2 linked regions of the Oreochromis niloticus genome follow. The protein of the gene in region 2 binds, or shares a complex with, the protein of the main gene of each other region. Links are inferred from orthologs where the notes say so. Each region holds a gene or a part of one and is shown on either strand. Other genes may lie near its edges. The genes, in order: anks4b and ush1c.

What was found.
Region 1: ush1c (region 2) and anks4b share a complex: the UniProt entries of both Homo sapiens proteins name them as parts of the IMAC/intermicrovillar adhesion complex. The link is inferred for Oreochromis niloticus from reciprocal best matches to the Homo sapiens genes USH1C and ANKS4B.

Annotation. Positions count from the first base shown.
Region 1 is NC_031969.2:19,099,703-19,110,811, forward strand, and holds anks4b (ankyrin repeat and SAM domain-containing protein 4B), read left to right. Parts: upstream 1-6,219; 5' UTR 6,220-6,557; coding exon 6,558-6,718; intron 6,719-7,715; coding exon 7,716-8,820; 3' UTR 8,821-9,260; downstream 9,261-11,109. Other genes in the region: slc25a17l (peroxisomal membrane protein PMP34), read right to left, coding at 1,794-1,941, 2,049-2,134, 2,795-2,890, 3,041-3,186, 3,277-3,393, 3,651-3,805, 4,066-4,132, 4,491-4,551 and 1 more. UniProt on the Homo sapiens protein: As part of the intermicrovillar adhesion complex/IMAC plays a role in epithelial brush border differentiation, controlling microvilli organization and length. Plays a role in assembly of the complex.
Region 2 is NC_031972.2:60,242,719-60,253,021, forward strand, and holds the start of ush1c (harmonin), read right to left. Parts: upstream 4,633-10,303; 5' UTR 4,559-4,632; coding exon 4,523-4,558; exon of another isoform or gene 4,512-4,522; intron 2,764-4,511; coding exon 2,696-2,763; intron 1,518-2,695; coding exon 1,374-1,517; intron 1,247-1,373; coding exon 1,108-1,246; intron 1-1,107. Other genes in the region: ccdc77 (coiled-coil domain-containing protein 77), read left to right, coding at 5,891-5,925, 6,291-6,477, 6,579-6,721, 7,062-7,158, 7,422-7,512, 7,696-7,787, 7,908-8,056, 8,233-8,488 and 3 more. UniProt on the Homo sapiens protein: Anchoring/scaffolding protein that is a part of the functional network formed by USH1C, USH1G, CDH23 and MYO7A that mediates mechanotransduction in cochlear hair cells. Required for normal development and maintenance of cochlear hair cell bundles.

The sequences.
Region 1 (11,109 bases), on a different chromosome or scaffold from region 2:
TGCAGCTCTTTAGAGTGAGACTGGCTTCAAAAGAGTCAAAACCCTGTAACCTTTGATGTTAAAATGCCCAGCTTTACAACAAAAATAAACGTGTTTACAACCTGATACAATTTCTTTTTGTCTTTATAACCTGTTAGCCTCAGTCTTTATAGCTTCACATGGTTGCTTTCTTATATAAACTTTACAAAAGCTCAAAAGTAAGAGGTGTGGCCACGCTGAGTTACAGGTACGTGCCGACACAGATGTCTGCTCGGCTTAACCAGCTTTTGTGGCCTTGGTGTCTTTTGTTGTGTAATAATCTCACCAGTAGTAAACTATCAAAGCTCAAAAAACCACCAAAACTTGATAACAACAACATTTTAGCAGCCAAAACCTTAAAATGCTGAGCCCAAAGCTAATCAGTGGTTGATAGTGGCTCCATCCACGTTTTATATTCAGTCTATGGGGGAAACAAACCTAATTCCTGCAGTGAGGAAATATTATACTCTGAGTGGTTTCATGAACACACCGTAAGAATCAGAAGCTACAGCTTTTGCAGTCAGAAGATCACAAAACAAGCCAATTTGAGAGAATTTGTGTGTAGGTGTTAGTCGTTGTACTCCACCACCAGCAACATAATGATGGTATGTTCTTTGGAAGAATACTGTTTATCCCTTTAAAGGTCCAAAGACTTGATGAAAATACATGCACAACTAAGATTTTTAGCTTGTTTTTTTCCTTTAATTTGTCACCCGTCTGTATATCAGTTCATACAGTTTTGTTTTTTTTTCATAATGCATTACGTTCAGAGGCACTTGGTACCTACAACTACTGCAGCATGTGCAGACACATATTCACTGTGCTTTTCCCTCAATTTATATTAAATTAATTTAATGAGGTTTCCATCTTGCAGGATTTCACAACTGGATAAATTCACAGTTAAAAACTTAAGTGTATGTAAAGAATGGTCCAGTGGTTTAGATTAAGCCAGCAGTAAACTTATCATCACGTGCAATAAAGCTCAAACATTAAGTAAAAGTCTTAAATTGAAATACACTTTTTCAAATTCATATGAAAATGTAAAGACAAATATCATTCATCTCCTATAGTGAAATATGAAACTACAGCAGCCTCATGACAAAAACTGGGACCAGGGGAAAGCAGCTAGTCTGGCACATTGATTTGAACCAGTAATTTCTTAAAAAGCATGTATATTTCCACGAGAGCTGTATCAGTCTTTCAGTGCAACCAGGATCATCTCTCAGGAAGAGGGCAAACAGGTGTATTTGTGTGTGCTTTTGCCTAAACTGTTTAAAAATAAATCAGCACCTGACAGAGAGCTTATTTTTTAACAGTAGAAAGTTCAGCTCTTTAAAAGGTGTTCTTTTTCCTTTTGTCTTTTCAAACAGTTACTCAATATAGGACCTGTTTAACTCACCTCACACTAGAAGATATTATACAGCAAACCAAACTAATAAATGATGTCTGTATGTTTTTCTTTGTCACATAAACTCAGTTAACTTTAGTCCCTGCAGGACCATGCTGAACCAAGAGAAATGCACCAGTGGAGAGGATGTGTATGCACAGATGTTCGCAGTTAAAGGTTAACAACAGCAATAATTAAACCCCCTCTGGTTATGTTATATAATTTGGGAATGGAATAGGAATGTGGGGCTCCCAAGGCACCAATGCGGGCTCATATTATTGTGCCTATGCGACGGAAACAATTCATAATGTTAGTAATAGCATCAGCAGGCTTTTAAACCTACTGAGGATGAGTGCACTGATGGTTTGCTGTGTTCAGGTAGCCGTCTTCAGTGCTTCAGTTTCTTGTTCATGCCCATGATTCTGAAGGTCACTGCAGCGATCTTCTCATACACAACAAACATGAGGGCAGCCGTCAGTACCGTCTGTAGCAGCTTGGCTTCCAGGCCTTTGTACAAACCGAGAGCGCCGTGCTTCCTGCGATAAACACGGGTATACAACTGTGACCACTGCTACATATTCACACATGTGCTTGTTGTGAGTCGAGTGAGTAGATAGTGCAATTTTAGAGATGCTGCACTCACTTGATCCGGTCCATGAGCAGGAACAAAATGTTAGAAAGGCTCCCCATCACACCACCACCCTTGGCGTCACTTTTATACTGGCCAAACTGATTAAAAAAAAAAAAAAAGCATAAAACAAGTGATCCATGTGTAGTAAAAATTCAATATCATTTACCAGTATGCATATTGGCTATGAGTGTTTGACGGTATTAACCATATAAAGATGCTCTGGTTTCTTTAAATTTTTCTATAAATACACACTCACCGGCCACTTTGTTAAACCGGTTCATCTGCTGATCAATAGAAATATCTAATCATCCAATCACATTGCAGCAACCCAGCTAATTTAGGGATATAGTGAAGTTGCTGCTGAGCATCAGAATGGGAAAGAAATGTGATTTAAGTGACTTTGAATGTAGCATGGTTTTTAGTACCAGGCGTTCTTATCTACTGGGACCGGATCTGAAATTTTTTCCCTAATAAAGTTTCTGGGGAGTGTACACAAAATTAAGTCAGATTTACAGAATGTTGTGTCACCGACTCAGCCAAGAGTTCCACTTTAGTTTTTAGTTTTTGAGGAAACATAATTTTGGCCTGTGTAAGAGTGTGATAGATGGCTTTTGGCACACATAAAATTACAGATACAATTTGTAGTTGTTTTTGTCTGTTCACTGAATTTTCTGTCATTGCAAAAATGTTGAACTTCATCAGCCTAATCTTTGAAAAACAGAATACAGGAATGACATTTTCCGTATTAGAGTACTTACCCTCAGTATGGCCTGAACTGTCTGCAGAGGATACGTGGCAGTGGTAGCGATGGCCTTGGCAATGGCTCCAATGAGAAAAATCTTTGCCGAGGATATCTGTGGTAAAAGATGAACTTTCACAGGTCAGGTGACTGATCGCTAAACAGGGTCCTGGCTGATCACAGCCCTTCAGCTATGTAATGACAGGATGCTGACTGATTAGCTTCAATAATGCAATATTGTATACATCACTTGCTCTCTTCTTACCTTCCTCCCTCCTCTGCCTGCCTTCCTCTTCATGGCCTCATAAATCATGAACTGCACAGCAGGGTTGAGGACGAGGACGAGAGAGGGCAAAGTGCCGTTCCACAGAGTTCCCACCCCCTCGTTGGCTATGATCTGTGAGAAAGCATCTGAAAGAAGCAGTGAGGTTTGAAAATCATACAGACACGAGACAAGCACGTCAGAAGTTTTGACCTATTTAACGGATATGAAGGACGCACCAAATATGCCTTTGTAGTGAGTCTGGTGGAGGTCTTCGTTTCTGAACTTTACCCCCTGCATCTTCAGTCGAGTGTTGACCACCCACATGGGAGTGGTCAGGATCACATTCACCACTCCTACATGAACAAGAGATATTCAAGTTTCTTGAATCCACAAACCAGAGGATAATATCACCATCTTTTTCATACAATCTGTGGGATACATACATGCAAACGTTTCACACACAAATCCAGGATTCATCCATTCAATCCAGGCATCTGTCACACAGTCACTCCCTCCACTTTTGAAAAGTTTGCCTACAGGCTTCTCTATTAATTGGACACCTTGGATCCATTTAAGTCTTTCAGATAATTTCCATCAGGTCAGTACTTACCTGACACAATTCCAATGAGCAAGTCTTTCCCAGGTCTGGACTGGCCTGGACCAGATGCCATCATCTTCTTCAGCGAGTTAAACGTGTAGAAGTAGACAAAATTGGAGCAGCAAAGGCTGGAGATAACTGGGAACCAGCCTCTGTATAGTGACAGACTGGGAGAGGTGGTGAAGAGGCATTTGAGTAGTGAGTTTTTAGTCATGTGGCCAAAACATCATCCTAAACCCTGGATTAGATTACAGCTGCAGCTTCCAATTATTTTCATTATCTGTTTATATCTGTAATTACCTTGTTCTTTTGGTTCATAACATTTGGTTAAATTATAAATGTGGTCAAATAAGAGCAAAACAAGGCTTAATTTGTGTAATTTCTAACCAGAAGCCTCAGTGATTTTAAATTCCCAAACTATACGTACAAGCCTTCTTCCTTTGCTATCTCAGCCAGAATGACTGGAGTTGAGTTCGACTTTCTCTTCTCATCCACTGAAAAACAAACACAAATATGCCAGAAATCACATAATGAGTCTCTGGACAATGATTTGACACACAAAGATCAGTTTAACTGCGTTATCTCAGCTTGTGGAATGTAAAAGAGTGGAAGCAGAAAGGCATGACACACCTTTTTATGCCTTATATAGAGCTTTGCAATAAAAAAAAGACACGTGAAACAACATAAACAGAAATGGATTGTTTATGAGGTAAAATAAAAACTACATTTATCAGTGCACTACTCTTTGGGATGCAGTTACAGTTGCTCTATAATGACCCCAGCGTTAAACTCTTTCAACTCTGCAGTTTATCAGGTAACCTCTGTCCAAGATGATAAAGCCCCCCAGCTCACCCTGGAGTCTGCTTTTGGCCGTGTCCAGAGGAAAGAAGACGGTCATAGCTGTCACACTCCCCTAAAAAGACAATGCATTGCAACATTAACATCCATACTGACACCTGAAAACACAACAACATCTAACACCATTGTTCAGCTTAAAGTGGTTTCTTCAACACCATGCTATCCTGCTATTAGAAGGATAATACCCCAACCCCCATAAAAAATAAATAAATAAGAAACAAAGCTACTCACCATTGCACCTGCCACAGCATGAACCAGCGTCTCATAGGATAGGAGGCCGACAGCCGAGCCACCGTTGTCGGACATCTCTGCAGGCTCTCCCCGGTCCAACCACACAAGCTAAACACCGGGAAGTAACTGCCGTGAACCCAATGGAAGGTGTCCGGGTTTTCCGAACAGTGGAAACGTTTTAAACAATAATTATTCACAACTTCATGTTACAAGAAGCTGAAAAGCGACAAGAAACAGAAACCAAAGAAGAGAGAGGAAAACTGTCAGATTGGGTTCACTCTCTTCTGGTCGGGGGGATAGTTCCTCCCAACATGCCGCTGATTGGACAGTTTCTTCTTCTTCTTTTGTTGACTCTTCTGTCGGTTCTGTTTCTTCTTCTTCTGTTTTTGGTAAACCATTAACTTTAGCAGAGTTTATGAGCCACCTACTGGACTGGAAGGAGATGTGGTGCAAAAACTATATGGGATTTTACAGCCCTTATTTGCGGCAGGTCACCACACCATGTGTGATTTTCCAGATTTTTCCTGACACAACCTCAAAGGGACAGACTTAGATATCGTAATCATCTAGATATGACAACACATATCTAGATGTCTAAAAGACTTACAGTAATGCTTTTTTTTAGTACACTTATGTAAAATACATATACTCAAATGCTGGACTTTATCTGGGCTTGTACACATACACTACTGTTACTTCACATCACTAGTTTCTCCAATTCATTTCATGGAGAAATGTCTCTTTTTAACGCTAAGCTCTAAGGATGAGCTCCCATGATGAATATAATATCTTGTAAAAAGAAAACTATCCTGCAATATTATTTTGAACCTAAACAAATAGCAAAATTAGAACATGTGACTAATCAGCCGTTTTTAAAAAAGTAAAGAAAACAATTGAATTGCATGTATAAAAAAAATGAAAGTGTACCTTGATTAAATATTCATCTTGCTAAAACAGTTTACAAACAAAACAATAAATGAATTTATCAAGAAAATAGATTAACATATGATTTAAATAATCACAAGCTGTTTGCAATAATTAATATTAAAAAATACTTTATTTTTCCTGATTCTTATTACCTTTGATACTTTAAGTATAGTGTGGTTATGTACTTTTGCTGTAATTAATGACCTATATTAACAATATAGATATTAAAAATATCTAATTAGATTAGATGGATAAATAGAGTGAGCAATAATTTGTTAATAATAGCTTTACTTATGTATTATACTTAAGACAGTTTTTAGGTATAAATGCTTTAAGTTAAAAAGTTAAATGTTCCAAGTTTTAAGTTGATTCAGGGTAACAGAGGGAGTTGATGTTTCTTTTTACACTTTTAAATACTTTTCTACAAATTACAGAATAAAAATGTATCATAAAAAACATCATCTTACAAATGTTGATGAAACATTTAGAGTTTTAACGAGCTAAAACCTAAAAAAAACTAGAAACAACAGATAATGTTCCATTGTCATTTTACTGGGCATTCTGGTCTACAACAATATATTATTCTTTCATAAAGATTGCTTTTGTCTTCAAACTTGTGAAGAAATAGTGATTACAGCAGAAACTCCTGCTGTGTGTGAACATGTTTTCCGGGTGAAATCGCAGAAAGTGATTTTTTATAGTGTTGAGGAAATGGGGCGGCTCACAGCAGTGAAGCGAACTTTGCTTTTGTTTTATGGCCCCGAGCTGCTGGTGCGTTGACGCCCAGTCATCACTTTGTTTGCTTGGTTCTGCAGTCGCTTCTGCTCATCTGACGTTAGCCAGGGGGGGCGCAGAGAAACCTAGATTTTTATTTTTCTCCAAGCTTTTCCCTTCTTACCAGAGATGTCTAGGTACCACAAAGCAGCGACTGATGGATACGTGGAACTCTTGAAGGAGGCCACGGTGAAGGACCTGAACACCCCGGATGAGGATGGCATGACTCCCACCATACTGGCTGCTTTTCATGGACATATCAGTGCTCTTCAGCTCATATGCAGCAGAAAGTAAGCTTTCTATTGCCTGTCCTTCATCTCACATCCTACACTGAGACAAAAACACAGAACGACCTGAACATATGAGTTCTCTTCAAGTGTTTTCTTCAGCCTGTGTAATTTTTCTGTAATTTATAAAGAAAACATGCAGTTAGACATAAATCTTTACATTTAAATAGATTATATTTTATAAAACCAAATAAGATTAAGATCTACAGTGGAACCAGGAACAGTGCTCACAGAGCAAAGGTTGACCAGCATGAAATAAAGTGTGTTTTATGCTTTCTCATACGTACTTTGTTTGTTTTTGGCACTTCATCTGAATTTTTTCGACAGCTATTGTTCACTCCATTTTAATGAGCTAAGACTTTATTTCCCATTAGCTGAGCCAAAAGTTTAACCAGCCCAATCCATCCCACAAAAACAAAAGAGCTGTTCATCCAGGCCGCGCCACCACCACCACCACCACCGCCGCCGCTACTCCCCTTGTACCTCCGTTCCTCTTTCACTACAACCAGGACCATACAAAATCTGTCCCAGTGCTCTTACAGACATTTGAGTTTCAGAGAATACATTAGATTTATTTAATTCTATTTATATTTTAATGGGCACAAAGCGTGTCTTGTCTACGTGGCCAGGATTATCTAAACCATTTCCTCTTTGGTCATTACGCAGCATGAACTGGGATTTATGACAAGGTGTAGCAGTCACACGGCAATCAAAACTTGACAGGGGGGCAGCAGTAAAAGGACTTTAAGTCTTAATAGCTCACCAATTAACTTCACCCATCTTTAATTCGTCATATGGATGTAGATCTATTCTCTGTTTTAATTTTATTTCCTGGACTGACATTTTTTAAATGTCATTTTCATCAGTTTATTATTTTCCCTAAATTCATGACAACTACTATGCATGGAGTTTGGTATAAATCAGGAATACAGAATAGCTAAATAATGAAAATATCATCACTAATGATAAAAAATCTTGTGTGTGTGTTCGTGTTGTACAGAGGAGATCCCAACAGGAGTGACATCTGGGGAAACACACCCCTGCACCATGCAGCAGCTAACGGCCACATGCACATCCTCAGCTTCCTGGTCAACTTCGGCGCCAACCTTTTTGCTCTGGACAATGAATTCCACACGCCAATGGATGTCGCCGCTTCACGCGACCACATGGAGTGTGTGCGCTTCCTCGACGCTGCTGCTGCAAAGCAGACCAACCAAAATCCAAAAAAGGTCGCCAATCTGAAGAAAGAGGCCGAAAAAGAGGCAGAGAAACGCGTGAAACTCTGCGAGAAGGTGAAGAAAAAACACAAGACCAAGATGGATAGAATGCAGCGTGGAAGCAACTCCGGCTCCTTTTCAGATGCAGGAACGGCGTCGCCAATGTCAAACAATGGCACCATCTCGGGCGTCAATGAACAGTTCTCCAAGCTCATCACTGATGATAAAGTTGGCTCTATTAAAGGCACACTCCTGAAGAAGTTTGGGAAGAAGGACAAAGGCACGCTGCAGAGGTCAGAAGGAAGCGGGAACGTTATCTTCCTCAAACCAGAGAGCGGATCTGAGAACCCAGAGTTTGTGGACGTCTTCAACGAGCAGGACGAGAACATGTTAGAAGAAATGGACAGCTTCGGAGATGATGACGACGATGGAGGCCAAGTGAAACAATCCATCTTCAATCGGCCCGGCCTTGGAGGCCTGATGTTCAGGAAGAAGATGGGGCTAGACTCTGACGACATCCCCAGCAGTGCCAATGAAAGCCTTGGTTACCTCGTTCAGAGCGAGCCGTTTGAGGCAGACGAAGACACCTCTGGCTTGATGGCGGGTGACAACACACTGCCGTGGGAACAGGAAGATCTGGGACTGGATGATGATGAAGATGAGGACACCTCTCCTTTGGATGTGTTCCTGTCCTCTATCTCCTTGCCAGATTTTACGCCCGCATTCAACAGAGAGCACCTTGACTTGGAGGCGCTCATGCTTTGCTCTGATGAAGACCTCAAAGGGATCCGCATCCAGCTCGGACCCAGGAAGAAGATCTTGGAAGCTGTTGCTCGGCGAAGAAATGCCCTGGAAAATGCAGGCATCATGAAGGACAGCTCCTTGTGATCTTATACAAAAACAGTTATTTATCCTCCAAATTTAAAATAAGCCTTTTGTCAGTTCGATTTCTGTATAAAACAAACATGATTCAGCAAACTAGTGAAAAATTCCAACATTTCTACAGATTGAACTTTATTGATCGTATTATGACAATATGTTCCGTGTATACCTGTTATATTAAGTTAAAAGTGCCATGACAGCATCAGCCAACAATATCAACAATATCTTATACATCTGGTTTTAAAACAAGAGAAAAAAAGGATAATTATGTGAAAAAAAATAAAGAATAATGAATAATAAAGTGTTGGTATTGACCTGCTGGCTGACTTTCTCCACATATGAGGTGATATGGCACACGGATGATTTGCTTGTGCAGCTGTATGTTTTATTGTAATCATGTCGACCTCAGACAACACACCTGCTAAATAAACAAAACGCGCATGCACGATAGTCTCTCCAGTTTAATATTTCCCAATGGATTTAAAAATTGCCCTGACAGGAACAACAGCAGCTATGAGCACAACAAAAAAGAGAGGAAAGCAAGCACAGGAGCCACAAAATGACTCACAGCAAACACAAGCAGGCAGGCTAAAACTGGTGAACTAGTAAACACAATGAAGTGACCTGAATAGAATAGAATAGAATAGAATAGAATAGAATAGAATAGAATAGTCCTTTAATTGTCCCACAAGGGGAAATTTGGTTGTAAGAGCAGCAAAAAACCACATATACAAACAGAACAGGACACAGGACATAGAACAGAAACACACACAGTTTTTTACATATTTACATCATGGACAATAGTTACCAAAACAGAGTACTGTACAGCTATTAAAGTTAAAGTACAGATAAGTGGCAAACCAGTTGTAGTGTGCAAATGGAGCAGGATACTGAAAGATGTTTAAATAGTTAAGAATATTTAAAATAATTAGAAAAGTTAAGATTGTGTATTGTATCTGTGCATTAAAAAGTAGACATGTAACTTCCAATAAGTTAGTATATAGAAACTGAGAAAAAGTAATGTGCAAGTTATAAAAGTAGTAGTTGTTCAGCTGATTAGTGCAAGTTACAGCGCTGGTGTGAACATCTATGTTTTTGTTGAGAGCAGTTTTGATTGTACAGTCTGACAGCTGCAGGGAGGAAGCACCTATGGAAATGCTCCTTCATGCATCTAGGATGCAGCAGTCTGTCACTGCTGACCAGTGAGTGTATATGTGTATATACAAAGAGCACTGATTAAAGCACTGAAATATTTAGGAGGAGGTGAAAAAAGGGACACACACACACACACACACACACACACACACACACACACACACACACACAGGGAATCACTGCTCAAAACTAAAATAATAAAATGAAGAGAGTAAACCGAAACCCCAAATCACAAAACTCATCACTAGATTAACAAGACAAATGAAGGTCAAAACTGGAAACATAAACTTGGACATATCACAGCTCATCATCAGCGGAAATAACAACGAGAATAAGAAATTCAAAAGCATCCCCAACCTGTGGGATCATCTGAAGGTTTAGGAGCATGTGAGGGACTAGAGCCTGAGAAAGTAACTCGCCTGAAGGAGATACATATGAAATAAAGAAATTACATGTTTTGCAGATATCTTCATGACTGTCTATTATTGTACCTACATTGTAATGAAGTCCTTTTTGGCCAATTAAAATATCTTTATAGAACTGTTATATTATGTCTGTTGCAATTTCTGCTGACTTCTTGGCTGAACCTCTGTATAAAAAGAGGACATTTTTATCAGTGACACTTTTTAGCTGCGTAAATAAGGATATATAGAAGTCACTTTGCCAAAAACTGTTTTTGGCAAAGGACAGGAATGCTGTTTGTGGCTGAAAATGACGTGATATTATTCATGAGAAATGTTTTTGACGTGTTTCACAGATTGTAGGCCAATAAGTCATTTGCAACAGTTTGCATACACTTTTTAGAAAATACCGGAAATCATATTTTTTGGCAAACGATCAGATTTTGCTCTGCAATAACAAAACAAAACAAAAAAGTAAGGAAAAAATTGTGAGTCACTCTTTGATGAACAAACAAAGCAGGAAGTACATGGGGGTGAACCCTCTTACGTTTGCCGGGGGTGTGTGGGCGTGGCTTGCAGCGAGAGGCGTTTAATGTTGCTCAGGACAGCCGGAAGCTGGTTTGGTTGGTATGTGGGAGAGCGAGTAGTCCTCCGCAGCAGTCACGACTATGTGTAACAGGTGAGTTGTTTTGGTCTCTCCGCTGCTTAGTGATTAATCTCACCTGTGTGTGGATCGCAT
Region 2 (10,303 bases):
TGAGAAGCGATTAACACCTCATGACCAGCTCCCGATCACCAATCATATGGTCACAAGAAAATCAAACCTGTTTGAAATCCTGGTCGCCCCTCGTGAGGGTATCGCGCTGTTGAAGCAGTGCCAGGAGCCAATTTAACGCAACCTCTCACACTGTGCATGCACAAACACAGAAATTGAAGTGAAAAAGATGGCGAAGCATGGCAGTGCAGTGCAGCGTGTGATCTGGACACAAGCGATGGAGGCCCAACTTGTAGAAGTTTGGCAACCTCACCTAAGCCTTTTCGATGTGGCCTCACAAAATCATCACGACCGCAACAACCAAGAAAAGAGTTGGATGGACATGCTGCTCAATTATGTTTTTCATTAGCAGTTTAGCAAAGTTGATGGTGGTGGTGGTGGTATGTGTGTGTGTGTGTGAAAGACAGAGTGCGAGACAGACTTTGTGTTATATATTAGCTATATAATATAAGCGCATTGGGCCGTGTAGTGTGAGAACATGCATCGTGACCTATGAACTTCTAACCTGCAATTCAGTCGTACAGTTTGGGCAGGAGCCAAATAATGCGACTGAAAAAAATCCCACAGAGTATGCCCAGCATAAGGCCAGTTTAAAACACTACACACTTGCAACAAGAAAAGAAAAGTATTCAGTTAAAATTTTAAATCTCAGATTATAGATTCTTGTATTTGATTAGGCCCAAAATGATCACCATTATCAAAGGTCTCAGTAGTAAGTAGTTATTTTGTTATAACAGTTATAAAAAAGCTAAGGCACAAAAACATGTAAAAAAAATAGATTAAGTAAGTACAATGGTACATATATATGACAAAACAAAAAAATACTGGCAAACACCAGTGCTACCACTGGTGCTACCATAAGATTAAATGGAAAAAATAAGCACTAATCGAATTTAAGTTTATTCTTTTACTGACATTTTCTGTTTGTATTCGACTAGAACTAGGAATATTAAATCCACCCCCATTATAAAGAGATATAATTATTCCACATGTGGATAGATTCGTAAATAGTGCTGTAACCCCGGTCTATATATTTTTTTAAAGCATAAAAAAATCTGTAGAAACAAGCATAAATTATAATTATAGTACCTGTAGGCCCACATTATCAGCTTGTCCATCTTTTATAATCTGGGATATATAAAGACCACAGCCAAACTCAAGCCCTCCTCGGACGCTCAGACCTAGACCATCGCGATTGGTCCGATCCAAACGCACCTCTTTTAGCTTCCTGCACACATCAGGTGAGAAAATATAAAGCAAGATGTACAAGCCAATGAAAGCTAATATAAGGTAAATGCATGCCAGGGTCAGTAACTGCATGCTAGAAAGGCAATAAATAACCATGTTGTACTCACCTTGACCTCTTGGGGGTGAGCAAGTCATACTCCACCTGGTGCTTGAGAGGGATGAGAGGTCGGATGGCGTCAAACAAGGGGAGACGCTTTGGTTCGTTAATTACCAGCTTTAGGTCTCCCACCAACACTCGCAAATCCATCGACCTGGAAAGTGAGAGAAGGATAATTAGTGGTTTCACAACAATTTACCAGATCTGCTAATTTAGGCAATTACAAAACGGTGACAGCTCCCCTTGAAAATCAAACAATATGAGAAAGTCTGCAAAAAAGTGATTTCCAAAAAGGCTGGGATGCTGTGCAAAATATAGATAATTATTTAAACTCATATTTAATTGTTTTTTTTCAAAGAGCTAGTGCTTAGTCATTTTTGTTTCATAATATGCCAAATGGTTTTAAAAGCATGATATGTCTGGAGTGCAGGTGGGTCAGTTTAGGAACCAGACTCTTTTCCTGATCCGTGTGGGATTTTTCCCTTGACATTGACAAGGAGATGAAAATCTCACCTCTATCAGAGTCTACACACCCGATTTTTAAAATGTTTGCACTTTACCTTCTGCACCAACTGATGCAATTTATCAGGGTTAGCACAGCAATCTCTCTAGAGCCACAGGCATTTTTCCTCATAATAAAAAAACTTCAGAAAACATCCAAATGTACCTTTGAGTATTTTTTTTATTTTAGGATAAAGGGCAATTGGAACAGCAATTAAAGCAGCAAAGTAAATGCTATGGTATGAAATTCTTCCAGGTCACCTTCCTTTTGAATAATTAATATGTGCCATTTTAGCTCCATTTGGAGGTTGAACATAAAAAGAGCTTTTGTTGATAACTGGCCAGGCTTGTCGGAGCTCAGTGGAAACTGATCAGAGGCTTAACCAATAGGGTCACAGGACTGTGCCTCTGTACAAAGATTAATTGAAACCTAGACCTATCCCTTCCCCCTCTCATGCCATCCAGGACCACATTTTCATCAAAAAACACGACCCAGGGAGGATCTGAACCAGAGGTCTGCGTGCATTAAAACTGTCAGGGACAAGATTAATGGCTCCTAAATATTATTCATGAAAATGTTTAAAGCTAGAGAAAACATACAGAAGCACAAGAAGATGTTTTTTGTAATTAAATCTATACAAATACTACAAAGACCCATACGTGTCTACAGTTTCTTTGTTGTAACCCTTTTTGGCTATAGTTGTGCAAAGTTATTTAAGGACATAATCTATTCCATAATCATCAATGTTTTAGTCATAATGTGTGAAAAATCAGTGAGGAAATACAACACACACTCTGTAGACATGCTGAGCAGTGACAGATGGTACTCACTGGTGATACATGCGGAGGACGTCATACAGGTAATCCTTTTCTGCTTCATTTTCAATCAGCAACTCCACCTGCAAGAAAACACAAGCATCTGGTACCATCCTTCATCATTAAGCCCCCTGAAACACACCGTATCTCTCCCCTGTTTTCCTGTCAGCTACAGGGGGTGAGCCCCCTGTGTGTGTGTGTGTGTGTGTGTGTGTGTGTGTGTGTGTGTGTGTGTCCCCAAGTCATACAAACCTGATGACGGTTCAGTTGCAGCAGGATAGTTTTAAGGAACCGTTTGGGCCAGTCGCTGATATAACACATTTCACTATCTGTTTCCAGCAAAATCTCTCCTATAATAAGCTGAAAGCCTCACTTTCTAAGACATTAAAGTTCAGATAAATCCCTGGATGATGAGGGTCCATGTGCTAAACGTGAAATGGGCTGCCCATGTCTAACCACCAAACCCCTGGGAGGAAATAATGGCCACAGGGATGAGGAGAGGCTGCAGTAGGAAGGTCAGGAGTGTCACCTTACATCTCAAAAAGAGGTAAACATTCACACATGCACGCCTCATGTTGAATAATCAGACCTCAAATTAAAGAACAGGCATCATAGAGCACACACCCTCCGAGGACCATTTCTGCAGGGGTTAAAGTTAAGGCAGAACCACTGAGCCACACAGGGTGTGTGAACGGTGTTTATGATGGTCATAAACTTCTCTTTTTCCTGCAGAGTGAGCCACATGGACCTTGGCACCATAAACCAGTAAAGTATAGATAACTTGTTAGGCAGATAAGCATTTCTGGTTTAAAGATCAGAACTGTTTTCATACAGTGAGCTTCTCTGTCACAATGTAGTACCTACAGAATAAAAATGTGTGACTTTTATGCAAATAAAAACACAATAAAATTGCACAATAATCCAATTTTCAGGTGAATCAGACCATACAACTGACAAACATCCTCAACCAAACAATTAAGACAGTGTCGCAAACAGAAACAAAGCCCATTTGTGCATCATTCACCACTCAGCCTCTAATTAAACCCGTAAATTGTCGCATCTCTTCCGCTTAGCTGCTCGTATCTGACACATTATCTAATGCTAAAGCGCCCTTTGTGGAGAGCCTACAATATGGGACTCTGCTTGCCTGCGTGCAGCACAGATGGCTGTGAGGTGATCCCTACATGCTCTGGGGATGAAAAAGCCTTGAACATATCGTGTTCTCTTCATCTGTTATCTTTGCTGCTGATGACTTTCTGGGGGAAGTAGTCAACACCACCCACACATCAAAGTATAATTTCAAGCTGATTCACTGCATGAATGAATCCTGACTCCTAATAACATTTTATACTGCTTGTTGACTATAGTGACCTCTGCTGTGTAACTTTTACCTGAGTAAGAATAAGGTACCAATCAGGGAGGAAAGCTGTCCTACAGCAACCTCTTAAGGCTTTAAAGTATGGAAAATTGCGCAAAGAGAATTAAGTGTCACCAAAAAGACAAAATCCTCCGACACTCGTTTCACTTGGGCAACAGATGAGATTAGAAGCAGATGTTTCAGCTAAATAAAAACCCGTTAATCTACTACAACAACATTAAAAACAAACAGCAACTTTATTTCTTAATGATATGTTTGAATTACTGTTCAAATAAAAGTTGAGTTTTTTTGTTTTTTTTATTCGTCGCTTTGTCGGGCAGGCCTGTCTACGCAACATCTCACCGGCAGACACCTGAGCCAGCCAGCGAAAAGACAACCAGGTAAAAAAAAAAAGAGCTTCATTTAACATCCAGTTAATTCATGTTAGGATAGTTAAAAAAAAAATGTTGTTATTTTTATCATACCTTGTGCCTAAATTCTCGAGCAACTTTCCGCTCCATTGTTGAGAAACACCACAAAACGGTCCGACGTGAGATCTCAGCGTTGGTCAAGTTTGACGGGACGCGGCCGGAGGTCAATACGTCAAGGTAGTAGGACTGCAATCAGAGCTTCCGGTTAAAAATGTTATAGTAATATGCTTATTCGTCAAAATTAAAGCGGTCTTTGTTGTAAATATAGTCGCTTTTAACATTTAAAAACATATTATCCACAAAATATAATTGCTGTACACTTTATTTCAAGCTCAAATTTATAATTAAGACCTTTATTTTGAAGGGTTCACTGTGTAGCTTGGACTTCTTGCTAAGTCTGATTAATTTGTTGATAATCAAACAAATACATAAATGATTGATTGAATAAATACATAAATTTAAAAAACATACACGTCATCATATTTTTTTTTATAAATATATTCATGATAATAAAATATTATATTTAATTTTTTATTTTTTGTCGCTACGGTCGCTAGGTGGCAAAATAACGTCTGTTGCGGCTGAGTTTCCTACGAAGAAGAAAAAGGGGCGGTAACTTCCTGGTTTCAAAAGAACAACACCGCGGCGCTGCTAGACTGTTTAAAGTTGTGACGGGTGAGTAAAATTCAGAAGTATTTAAGCGAAAAGAAAGCCTGGATAAACGTACGACAGCTATAATGGTGCGCTGTATGATATGACATTTCTTATTTCTCATGAATTCATCACCATGAAACATAAAACATACTTAATAGCGACTTATTTTGCTACGACATGCTCTTTTTTATAGATTATTTTTTATGTGAAGTAAAAGTTCTTTATGCCCAACTGAATCATTGACGTGGCAGTTTAATATGGGTTTAAAGCGTTAAATTATCCCTCTGCAAGAATAGCGGACTGGTTTCAAAAGTCCCGCTCCCCCTACCGCCCAGTCTGCGGTAACCGAAATATACGACTGATATAAATTACCCTGTTAGCTCTGCAATCCAGATAGTGTTACCTTTTCACAATTATTGCAAAATGCCACTCTAGAAGTTCTTTTAGTTGACGTATTCACCGGTTATGTAACGTGTCATAATAATTGGAAATACTGCAAAAGGTAATATTTTTGCTTGTCCACCAACTCCTAATACAAGAAGTGTTTATTTTTTTCTAATGCTGTAAATGTTTCACTATTTGTATAATTATATCTATTCTGCTGACTCCGTTAAAGTTCTTTACATAATTGGACGCTTAAAGTATGTGGATATTAAGACCACAAAACTATTTTAAGTGCTCATGATTTAAAAACAACTGATTATTCATATAAACCTTTTAAACATCTTTATATGTATTTTCCATTTTGTTTACAGTGTCTGCAACAGGATGGGGTCCCCAAAGAAACATGCAACACCACACAGGTAAAGAACATACATTTGACACGCTGAACGCTGAACTTATGTTGCCATAGCACAGAGTGAGCCAAAGTAATGCTTTTTACTCTAATCTCCCTAAATGATACTTGGATTTATTGTGACAGTCTGGTTCCCCTACTGTTACAGACTCATCCCACATGGATTAAGCGTTATTACCTAAATGGGTTTAAATTCTTGGGTAATCCTTTACGCAGTTTATATGTCATGGGTAAAGTGCTGTGGTATTGTAGCTGATACAGTTACAACCAAAGTGTGAGTCTTCAGTCCCCAAATGTAAATTGTATGCCAGTATCATCATCTTTGAAATGGTTCATGTTCTTTGTTTTCTTTTTCTGTTTTTCACCCAACAGGACTAATATTCGTACCCCGGGTCAGGAGCTTGACTCGCCACTCCCCCCTATTCACGAGCGTCTGGCGCAACTGCGTCCATCCAGAGAGCTTCTGGAGTTCTACAGACAGAAGATTGCCCAGTTTGATAGCGAGCACTTGGAGCTGCTGCAGATGCTGGAAAAGTATAAAAGCCTCACTGAAGATCAGGTGAGAGATGGGAGTCAATGTGAGAGGCTTTGATTTTAAGCCATTTGTGCCAAAGAATCTTTGCCTAACTAATCTTGCCTCCCTTCATAACACCCTGAAAGCATAAGCTACAGTGGGAAATACGACAGCGCGAAGGAGAGATTGCAGAGCTTCAGAGTGCTCTGAGTGACATGCAGGTCTACCTTTTCCAAGAGAGAGAGCAGTCTCTGCGGCTTTATGCAGAAAACGACAGATTAAAGATCAGGTAGGTGTACAGTTCAACCTTAAGTATAGCATTAAATATTGATAAAAGTGAGTCACAGTGCCTGCAGAGAATGATTACTATTCTGTTAATAGTGATGATTTACTTTACCATCTGGCTTACTGCAACTAACCAAGTATTTTTTTTTCTACATATTTCTAATCATTTAAAACCAGTATTTTATGTTAACATATTTCTTTAAGAAAGTAGAAGGCTATACAAGTTATTCTTGACTGATAGCAGTAGGTGTGTAGCATTTGATATCTTAATAACTTGTTACCACCATTATCTGTTGTTGCTTCTGTGTATAAAACTTTATTACCATCTAGCCACTGTTTTACAGAGAGCTGGAGGACAGGAAGAAAATCCAACACCTTCTTGGTCTTGTGGGTCCTGACACAGGAGAGATTACATATTTCCACCGGGAACCTCCTCACAAGGTGCGTGCTTACATCATCGTAGGTCATTTTCTCAGTCGATGCTTTGAACTCAAATTATAATCTCAGTAAGATACGTTGGATTGACTGGTGCAGCTAAACAGAACTACAGCATTTTTAATGATATTACCAAAGTCCTTCTAAAAGCAAGCCTCTGTTTGGCTGTTATCTTGGTAATGCAGTCAGGCAGTTATTTAGGGTTATAACATTGAAGCTCCCAGAGTAGTTAAAAATACTGTTGTACTACTATTATTGCTATATTTCAGGTCACTATCTCACAGAGGTACCCAGAGTCCAGATTGGAGGAAAATCTCAGTCTTAGGCCAACAAAGTTGAGACCTGCTGCAACCAGGAAAGGTTTGAAAAAATATTTACTACAAATAATATTAGTTTATTTTGTCTGATTATTCAAGAAAATGTGAATGTATTTTATTTGTGTTGTGGTTTGTTTGTTTGTTTGTTTTTTAATCAAGTCATCACTACTTATGTATTTAAACTAGCCTTTTGTAATGACCATGCCATTTTGATTTTATATTTAAGCAGAGAGTGGCAGGAGAACAAAATTTGCAGATAGGGAAAATGGAGAGAGCTTGGAACAGTACAACAATGAGAAACAGACATTGTTGCTACAGGTATGGGCCCACTTTATGTATGCATGAAATGGGATTTCATTTATATGATCTGTTACAGAAAGTTAAACATTTCTTTCTCTTGTGCGTCTTGTGTTTACATTTTGTGGCACATGTCTCCAGGTGGAGGCGTTGCAGGCTCAAATGGAAGAGCAGACTCGCCTGGCCAAAGAGCAAGTGGACGCTCTGCTGGAGGATCGAAAGATTAAAACAGAGGAGGCCGAGGCACAGCGGCAGAGAGACCAGGACCGCATCGCTGCTCTGACTGACAAGTTAGTCTTATAGTTTATGTAGTTTATGTTGTCTGTATTTTTAGGTATTTATTATTGTGACTTATAGCTGTTTGTAAAACAAAGCTCTAGACATTTCTCTTCTTTTTGAAGTGATATCACTGTGGCTGACATTAAATTTCCAGATTTACTTAAATTTATCTCCTTTGACATGTCAGACTCCAGCAAACTCAGAACCTGTTGCATGAGAGCACCAGAGATTTTTTACAGCTAAAGTTTGACACACGAGCTAATGAGAAGAGCTGGATGGTAGAGAAGGATCGCCTGCTGAGGGAACTGGACTCCTGCCACAGCCGTCTTAGGAAGGCCAGGGGTGTCGGCACTGAGTCGGGGCGAACGTGGCAGCACAGCAGCAGCACAGCCCTCCCTCAGCCTCAGTCAGAGTCAGATCAGCCACACAAAGAGGAGCTAAAGGTAACATTAACTATTTGTTTGTGTTCATGAAAGTCTTTCCTGATTCCATTTTATAGGGTTGTATAAATGCCTTTTATAAATGCCCTCAGAATAAATCACAGTTTTTTGGCAAGTTCATTGTAGTCTCTTGTTTTTTCTTTATTCTTTTTTCAAACAGATATTGCAGGAGGAGCTGAAGCAAGCCAACCGTCTGGCAGACATGTACAGGGAGCAGTGCATTACTTTTGAAACAGAACTGTCCCAAATCAGAGAGGAAGGGGATGTGGGCAGGGAAATATTCAAGGTACACCAGTTTGATTGATGGTTTAGTCTGTACAAGCCTTATACACATCTCTGATTAAATGGTATCTGATATTGATGGCAATCACCAAGTTTCTTTTTACTGATACCTTGCTTCTGTGTGCAGGAGCGTTCAGAGAAAATGGCCAAGCGCCTCCAGCTGATGACTCAGCGTTATGAGGCATTGGAGAAGAGGAGGGTGATGGAGGTGGAGGGCTTCAAGGCGGACCTTAAACTCCTCAGACAGAAACTCAAAGATGTAGAAAAACAGCTTCTGAAGGTAAAAAGATCCAAACTGTGTGACCAATTGATTTTTGTTAGAAAGTTATTTTTTGATCTCAGCATGCCTGTGCTTGTTTTTACATATTATAAGCACTGTGAATTACTTTAATTTTAATGCAAAACAAAGTTAAGCAAAACTTTCACTCGTCTTCCTTCAATTTTTCCACCTTGCTCATGTCCAAAATCACATTTTACTAAGTATTGACTGGGAGATTCTCTTTTCATCAGGTTACCTTGAATGTGGGGCCCAACCAGGACTTAGCCATCCTTCATGAAGTACGACAAACCAATGCCAGGACCAAAAAGGTTCAGGGCGAGCTGATGGCTCTGAAGGCAAAAATCTATGGACTTGAAAATGAGCTAAGATACAGCTGAGGATAATGCTCTGATATTTTCTGTAATGTGTAGCTGTGTTTATCTGTTATGGTTGCTTATTCTGCTGTTTTTATTTTAGAAAACTAGACTAAATGTTATTGATATTTTGTGCTTTGGACCAATAAAAATCGTTGACCGTTATTTTAAATCAGTGTGCAATCAGTTCTTTATATTTAATTTAAAAAGATGCAGCTTTGAATTTTTTTTTACTGTGACAACCAAATGGTTGTCATTTTTATTTTTTAAATTGGGCAATTTTTTATTTAATTTTCATATACAGATGAATGTTGGATGTCATGGGATCATGGAACAGACGTTCATGTTCCACATCAAATGTGTAACCTTTATTCAAAACAAGTACATACTATTCAAAGTTTACTGAATATACATTTATTTTTACTTTTAAAATCATGTATTTTTAAAAATATGACATATAAGAATTTATGCTTATTAATGTGTTACATACTGTATAACCATTTCAATAAGGAGAGATCAGTAGAAAGAGTGAAGATGATGTATTGATGAACAGAATATAGACGGTTAGACACCGATGGCCTGTCTCAGCGGAATGGACCCTGGCTGTGAAAGGGATTAGAGCAGGACCCCCTGGAGCCGAGATGAAGGTGGCTTGAATGGAGTTTGAGTGATGAAAGGTGGAGGTGGGTTGCACAAAGGCGTAAAGGAGAATGACAGTAACCTAACTGAAGTAGGTAAAAATTAAACAAAGCTTGCTACTGGTTATCATAACTCAGATAAAATTAAGTAAAGTTTCTGTAAAACTAAATGCAAATAATCAAGAAAAAATATGTAAAAAAAAAAAAAAGAATTATTCGTATATTCGTTTTGTTTTATACAACTATACATCAAATGTGTCAGAAA